2 linked regions of the Xenopus tropicalis genome follow. The protein of the gene in region 1 interacts with the protein of each later gene in a pairwise test. Links are inferred from orthologs where the notes say so. Each region holds a gene or a part of one and is shown in the gene's direction. Other genes may lie near its edges.

Evidence for each region.
Region 2: the proteins of creb5 (region 1) and spred1 interact in binary tests that used the Homo sapiens proteins (3 or more experiments, as listed by UniProt). The link is inferred for Xenopus tropicalis from reciprocal best matches to the Homo sapiens genes CREB5 and SPRED1.

Annotation. Positions count from the first base shown.
Region 1 is NC_030682.2:42,850,827-42,855,239, forward strand, and holds the start of creb5 (cyclic AMP-responsive element-binding protein 5), read left to right. Parts: upstream 1-1,573; 5' UTR 1,574-1,903; intron 1,904-4,413. UniProt on the Homo sapiens protein: Binds to the cAMP response element and activates transcription.
Region 2 is NC_030684.2:110,838,772-110,842,918, reverse strand, and holds the start of spred1 (sprouty-related, EVH1 domain-containing protein 1), read left to right. Parts: upstream 1-1,310; 5' UTR 1,311-1,445; coding exon 1,446-1,468; intron 1,469-4,147. UniProt on the Homo sapiens protein: Tyrosine kinase substrate that inhibits growth-factor-mediated activation of MAP kinase. Negatively regulates hematopoiesis of bone marrow.

The DNA of each region.
Region 1 (4,413 bases):
CATCTTGCTGAGGCCACTAGTCAGAAGTCTGTTACAGTTTCAGTGCATACAATGGGGGGCACAGGCCGGAGTTTTTATTACATGCTCTTGCACATAAGAGGAGCCACTTGGCTGGAGTGTACTACTTCTATCAGTGCTTTCGTTACATTTTAGTGCATGAATTAGGAGCCACAGGTCTGGGTCTCCTACCCATAAGCAGATGCACATGGCAGGGGCAATAGGTCTGATTTCTGTCACATTATATTGCACATAGCTAGGGCCCCTATCTAGTGTATGCTACTCATATCAGTGTATGCAGTGGGGGGCCACATGCCTGGAGAATACTAGCCATATCCATGGGCCACTGGGGGGGGGGGGGGGGTTGGCCCAATGCCCTTGTCCATGGCAGATGACACTGGTCTAGGTTTGCTACTCATATAGGTGTATTTAGATGGAGCCAAAGGTCTGGGGACTGCCAGTCCTATACAGGGGCACATTGCATGAAATGTCACTCCTGCAATGAGGCAAGGTGAGAATATTGTGGTAGCGAGCAGCCATTTACCAGGGGCAGCAAAAACCCACCTCTGTTAACTTTACATTTTTAAAAGCTTAATTTCCGTTCCATGGGAGGTGAGGCAGCAGCCCCTGAATCAGAGCTGATAGCAGGGGCCACTGATTTGAGATCTGACATTACAGTGCAGGCAGAGGTCACAGGTCTGGGGGTTGCTATCTGGGGGTTGCTATCTGGGGGTTTCTATCTGGGGGTTGCTATCTGGGGGTTGCTAGCCGTATCTAAGTTTACTTTGCAGTAACCACTGATATCCCTACCTGCATACCAGTCACTGAAGGCTATTATTTTAAAGGACAAACATACCAGTCTAAATGGACAGTAATGCTCTAGCTATGGTAACGCCAAGTAATTGGGAATTACCATAAAAATTGTTTCTACTAAATAAAATAAAAATAACTAGCTATTGCCTGTGCGATGGACAAATTAAGAACTTATGTCAGTTTCATTCTGCCCTGTTAGGCTTAAGAAAGTGAATATTAACCCTCAGTGTGCTAACTTGCGGATTTATGGAGCTGCTGGATTAAGATACGACCCTCTCCACATGAGGGGTCCAACCGCCTAATAATAATTTTGGCTTTTATTTAACCCTTGGCGGCCCTTTCGCGAGTGTTTTTCCGACGTTAAAAGCGCAATCTGAATCCGTATTTCTGCTCGGCTTTGGGTTGGTCCTTTCTGCTCTGAGCTCTTCCCCCGGATCGTTCAGAAAACTTTCCCATTGCTCTGCAGAGTGCCCGGCACGACGCATCTCCCACAAACACATAAGCATTTCGGCAATTACCCTGAGACAGTGATGCAGCCCCTGTCAGGCCAGTGTTTGCGAGCAGCCCCAGGCACTTCTCTCAGCCCCGCTCTGTCAGGCACCACAGCAATCTCCAGCAGCTTCCCCGGGACGTAACTCTCTCTCTCTCTCTCCCGCCGGCCCCGCCCCTCCGCCACACCCCCCTCCCTCAGCCGACTGCTATGATTTAGAAGTTCAGGAATCCCACGTGACGTCACCAAAGGGTGATGTAATGCTTCTCTAAATAGAAAGTATTGTAATCTTCTCTCAGTCCAACGTGGTTCCTTTGTAGTACATGGCACTGTGTCTTTAAAAACTGCTTGTGTATGTGTGATGCAGGGGGAAGTCACTCCCCCACTCTAGAAAGAAACGGAGAGTCTCTAAGCAGCCTGGGAAGAGTTCGCTTCTCCAAGTGTTTGCCCTGTACATGCTGCAGCCAAATAAGTTAGCACTGTGCTCACTTTACCTGCTGCACCACAGCCTCCAGTGAGAGGAGCCCTGGGAACCAAAGTGCCTGTCACTCACAGAGACATACAAACCTGCACACTTATTCCTCATCTTCTACATTCATTTGGGTAAGTTAATATTAGTTATTATTGGGAGATAATATTTGTTGGTGCCAGCTTTGAACGAATTAAAGCAACATTCTTCTACTCAGTATAGAAGAGATTTTGGGTGAAGGCTGAGTCACGTGTTCCCGGTATGGTTCAACTGTGATTCTGTCACATAACAGGTCGTGGCGGTGCCCCTGCCAGGTGCTCAAGTCGCTGTGCTACTGGGCATGGCTATATTAGGAGCTTCTCTTTGCGCTTCCACCGCGGCTTCTAACGGGTTAAGTGCTGCCCGGAGCAATGGGGACCCTGCGCTAGAATTTGACACAAGACCTTGAACTGGCTCGTACAAGCAGCATCTGCAGCCTATTGTTATCTGCTATACAATGAGGGGTCTCTGCTGTCCTGCCGTGACAAGGGGGCAGTTATGCTCTGCGTGAGGGGGGTGTGAGCAGTTGGGAGCTATTTATCATGGAGAAGATGTATCAGTCAGAAACTTTCTATCACTTGTGTTTCCAACCCCCCCCCCCCCTCCTTTGCAAAATAGGAAGTTCCAAAAGTTTTGTTGTGTTGTTGTGCTCAGCTGATAATAGCACATAGCTCCAGAGGGAGGTCATTAGCAAGTCATTAATATGCTGCTGTCATTCTGTATAGGAAGACACTACTTCTTGCTGCCATCCCTGCCATTCTCATTGTTTTGCCAAGTCATAGATAGATATGACCAGTTGCTGACATTTAACCCCTTCTTTAACTTACAGAAGGGGTTATTTTACCAGCAAAAAAAAGGCTGCCGGACAATTGGAATCATATTTATTGAGATGCCTTTAGGGTATACGTTACAAGTACAATCTAAAACTTTTATGATCATTTGTTTCCGTTCTCATATCGCTGATATTTGACATTAGCAGTTTGGCTTCTACATTTTACACATACATCATTTTCTAATGTTTTTGGTATGCTAGTTAAAAAAAATTGAAAAAATCCTCCCACGCAGGATAAGATCACTATTATTGTTGAATGTGTTGGCGTGTGCTCTGTGCCTATTCGGTTGTTAGGTGTCAGTATTTGTATGTTTTCCCATCCGACATCTCAGAGAGCAAGGCTGGACACAAGGCCCATTACCTCATGCTGCAGCCGAGTAAGTGGGTATGATTAACGGACTCAGATAGTAAAGGGTTGAGGGGTAAGAAATGCTGACTGTGCAGTCTGTCACTCAAGCACAGTGTCTAATCACTCACATCTCTGTTGGTCATGGTTGTAAAGCACAATGCACTTGTTTCAGTTGCATCTATCATAAAGCTTATCAACAAGTTTATTTGTAATGTATTATTTCAAACTCCGTCATTTATGTATATTGTTTGTTACCAAACTATTGCTTCTAAATTACAAATAGCAATCTTGGTAACATCAAAAGCAGGTATAATAATAGCTTTGTTTGCTTATAGAGAAACATCAGTCGGAATACACAAAAGAATCTAGAGGGTTCTTTTAGTCAGGCCGTAGGGAATATAATTTCAGTGCTATTCTCTTATTTCTCTTATGACCCATCTTTACCTTGTAACCTCAAGTAGAGGTGAAAAGACAAGTGGCATTTCATTATGCTGAAAAATGATGTACCTTAGCCCTTGATCTTCTAATGACTTGCCCTCCCAGAGAGCATGAGAAGAAAAGGGGGGTGCAAAAGGTCTGGAGGGTCACTAGGACAGAAGGGAGATCAAGACAAGAAGCACAGGCTTGAGCATTAAAGAGATGTAATTAAGAGCAGGTAGCCTGATCCCAGTGGTGGCTAGAGCAGGTCGATTACTTGTCTATGCACTTAAGGTAAGCATAAGCGGCACTGCTTCTCAAAAGTAAATGGCAAGGGAACGGTGAGAAGTATTTAACAGAGGGGCATCATGATTCGGCTGAAAAGCTCAGGATTACCAAGCTCCTAAAGAATGCAACAGGTTAGAACTCTAACAGAGTATACCAGTAGAGTCTCTATGGTGCTTCCCAAATATGAAAACACAGCTGCATTAATGCACTATGTGTTTTTAGTGTGCCATTTCTCCAGTGGTAAGCTGTTAAATGAGCAGTAGAACTAATCTCTCTCTAAATAAGCAAAAAAAAAGGCTCTTGCTACTATTTATGCCAGTACATTTCTCATCTACCTTCATAAACCATCAGTGTGATTTTCTAGGAAGCAAAAGATAGTGTTTGTAATAACATTTTTATACATAATATTGGGGATTCTTGTGTACAGAATTTAGTAATTTATTTATTTCTGATTAATTTTAAAATTGTTTGTACTGGCCCACTTTAGTTGATATTTTCTTTGAACCAAGCACTCAGATTATACTTTGTGGCATTAAAACAACATTTATTTTTTTACTGAAGAGGAAACTGTAAAAGATGAGATAGTGAAATCAATTGTCATGTATGAAATGAAAGTATTTAAACTTGAAATCCAAAATACTGTCATCACTAGTGGCTACAACATTCCATGAGTAATTCAAATTGTCTTGATTTCTCCTACCAATGTGTTTGGGTAAATT
Region 2 (4,147 bases), on another chromosome or scaffold:
CTAACATTTGGCAATCCCCAGTGATTGTACCTTTTCTTCTCCTTAAATAATTGTATATCATACACGGCCACTGTGCGTCAATCTAAAGGTGGTCATACATGGGCCAATAAAAGCTGCTGATGGTCTGAGACAGGCTACTGGACTAGTATCTGACCAGATGTCAATTGGGTAAGTTTAAAAATCCCATCGAATGAGGTACACATTAGTGCATTGATGTGGTCCTCGTCCCAACGGCCTGTATCCCATCAACATAATCATATTGTTTGACTGGAGGGTCAAATGATAGGATCAATGAGATATCAGGGAAATATCTGCTTCTGAGCATATCAGGCAGTGTCGGACTGGCCCACCAGGAAAACTCTTGGTGGGCCCAGGTGTAAGTGGGCCCTCCTGCTCATGACCATTTGGCCTGCTTCATGGTCATTCCCTATTTCTGAATGGGAACACAGAGGAGAAATAGATGGAAGAATAGATGCTAGCATGTAAATAAAAGAGACTAGGAGAATAAAGAGAGCAAAAGAGGAAAAATTGTTAGGAAAGTGGGCCCGGGGTCTAAGGTTTTCTGGTGGGCCCCTGGGGTCCCAGTATGACACTGATATCAGTGAAAGATTCGCTTCTTTTGGGACCTCACGGAGGAGGGGATAGTTCAACCTATGACCAGTTTATGGTATTTCCAAACCTACTATACTTGTGGGCTCTTTAGTACCATCCTGCTCTGCTGTCCACATTGTCACTCCAATTCAACAATAGAACACTTGGCAGTATGGCAGCAATCCAAGAGGCAATTAAGCAACTGTAGAGTCCAGGCTGCCTGGTTTCAATGTATCTGTGTATTTTCTCCATTGAGAAAAAAAAACATATAAGTTATAAATGTGTTTAACCAACTGAATAATCGCCCAGGGATCCTGTCAGGACAATTATATAACGAAAAGAAAATAAAACGCTTCTCCTCAAAGGCGGCTCGTTGGGACTTCTACATAAGGGGTTAAACAATGGGTCCAGAAATAGAAGTATATGCAAAGGCTCTTGCAAAGTTGTCTGTGTGTGAGCGTAAAGCTAAGGCGCAGCGAGGAAGGCGCTGGTGTGTGTGCGCCTGTATATGTACACATATATGTATGAACTGTAAAGGAGGAGCACCCTCCCTCTCCCTTCCACCCCCAGTAGAAGGAGGAGAGACTGGGAGGAGGAGAGCAGGGGAAACGCAGGGAGGGGGGTCCGTTCTGGATGCGCACTCGCACGGATGCTTGGCGCAGGATTGGCCTGCCTTTAAATCGCTTCTCCGCAGTTTATCGCTGTTTCGAATGCTCCGGCGGGGCGCACTTCCCATATAACCTTCCGATTGCCTCCCGGATCCCTGTGCCCTCACCATGCGTCTCCTTCGGGAGCCTCCCTGCGCCCTGGCCGACGGCAGCCAGCCCCGAATCGGAGCCCGGTGAAAGGGGACAATGAGCGGCGAACAGGAGCCAGAGTGAGTGCCACCTGTGTCCCGTACTGGTCTCTATTGCACCGGGATGGGTAGATTAGGCCTTTGGGATGCGCAGGGAGCGCTTTGCGCCGGGCTAGTCCCTGTGTGGATCCCATGCCCCAGCGCTGCACACTTGTGCGAGTGGGAATGCAGAGAGCGTGTGTGAGCGCATACAGGCAGAATGTGTGTTCTACTGTGCACTCCCCGACTCTAATCATGGGCACTGAGTGTGCAAGGGGATGGGGGACATAGTGGCCAAGTGCAATCAATGCTTTTCTCTATGTTGCCTCTCATGGGTTGTGGGCAAGGTATTTCTGGCTGGCTTGTCTACCTGTGTGTATGTGCCTGGAGCTGCAATTCTGCATGGGATAAGCTAGAGCTGTGTGAAAAAGTCTCCATGACTAAAGCACAGTATGTACTAATACTTGCATTATAATGTCAGTGCATCATACTGTATCTAAGCAATGCTTGGCAGGTGTGGCTTACACTATGGTATAATGGCCCATCTATCTATCTATCTATCTATGTATCTATCTATCTATCTATCTATCTATCTATCATCTATCTATCTATCTATCTATCTATCAAAAGTCTAGCATGTCTATCTGTATATTATGGGTGTATATAATATAACTATGCAAAGACACATCTCATAATTTATGCAGGCATTCTGTAATGTGAGTATATTTTTATTACATTACATTAACATTTATTTATAAAGCGCCAACATATTCCGCAGCGCTGTACAATAAGTGGGTTACATACATTGGACATACAGAGTAACATATAAAGCAATCAATAACCGATACAAGAGGTGAAGAGGGCCCTGCCCAAAAGAGCTTACAATCTACAAGGAGAAAGGGTTGAGACACAAGGTGTGGGAATGGGCATGACCAGAGTTGTGAGAGTATATATCAGATATTTTGCAGATGTCAAACCTGCGGCCCTCCAGCAGTTGCTTATATTCTCCTTTAAGTATCCTCTGAGAGCCGCAGGTTGGGCATAACTGCTTTGTGTGCTCACACAAACACGTATGTATGGGAGCGTGTGTTTGTATACATATATTCATATATATGTATATAAGTGTGTATATTAAATATATGTGTATGTTTATATATATAGCTATTGCATCATTGTATTGTTTATGTATATATCATGTTTGTGTTTGTATATGGTTTGCAGTTGATTTTGTGCAGGTGTACAACATTTACATATTTGTATATGATTTTCATGTGGAAATTGTTTATTTGAGAAGGTCTTCATCAGTGACCGTAGAGTGAATTTCCCTATTTTAGAAAAGATGGCTATTTTTTACTGTATCCATGTGCGTGCAATTTTTTCTTTTTTTGCATGATTTAACGAGGCGGCCTTATTATGCTTCAACAATGTACCACATTCATATATGTGTGCCTTGTGCTGTCAGTTATTATATACATTTGTATATGTGTCGTTGTATGGCTATTTTTTTGTCCATGAATGGTTATATATAATGCAGAAAGATGAGCACACCCTCAAAATAAATCAAATGCCTGGGTGCCAGTAATACATGGTTATTTTAGAAAGTACAGAAACACCAAAGTGAATGCATTGGTTCCAATGCGTTTGATTGCACGTTTAATTTCTGTTTTATTTCACTTTAAATATTGTGATTCATAGGATATATACGCCAAAAGTATTTTAGTACAATTGTGATTCTGACAGCACAACTTTTGTGTAACCCTGTTCAGTTCTGCTGATTTATCAGCCTGCTGATAAGGTGAATTGAACTATGCACCTTGGGCTTATTAGTGTTCACATTTGCTACAATAATTTCTACATTCGAGCTTCAACTCAGTATTATTCTATTAATATGTGATATTTCTACAAACTGTTCTGGGATATATTTGCATTATTTTATTGTACCAGGGCAGGTTGCATAGTTGCCATTTACTCTCATGTGGGAAATGCACCGTTCTGTTGCCATCCTGGAGAGTACAGTTGATTGAAAGGTGTTGGACAAATTAGCCTTTGCGTAGGGCCACTTAGGTAAAGCAGGGCTATTTGACCTTTTTCCTTTTTAGCTGTTGCTCAGCTCCCAGCATTATTAGAGTGTAAGCTTTTGTGAGCAGGCCGCTCTAATCCTACTGTTTCATTCTGTAGCCTCTACAAACCATACCCTTTTACAATTTGTAACCCTTGTTTGATATATTTTGTAAAGCAATGTGTAACTTGCCAGAGCTATATAAATAAATGATGAGGAGGACTGGTAAATGCTGGAAATTGTAGGTCAATAACAGCAGTAAGGCATGTTTCTTGGACAGGTGAGCTGCTTTTCTGCTGGCAGAGGCACTGCACCACCAAAGACATCTTTGTAGCATGTTCATTGTAAGCTAACGTTTATTATTATATGTAAATGTGCTTATCGTTATATGTCATATGTACGTACATTATTCTGCAATATGAGCAATTGCTGTGCAAATTGGTGTGTGCGATTATTAACACCAGAAATATTATAATTTATGTAAAAATTACTAGGCATATTTCATAGCTGGATATAATTGGGGCACAATGCAAATAATTGGATGCAAATGCAACCTGTATAAATGGTGAAAGGTCCCTGTTTACAAGAGCTTAGGCTTATGGCACACAGACATTTTGATTACCACTCTTCTCCCAGAAAAAAGGAAGCAGCAGTGAAACTAC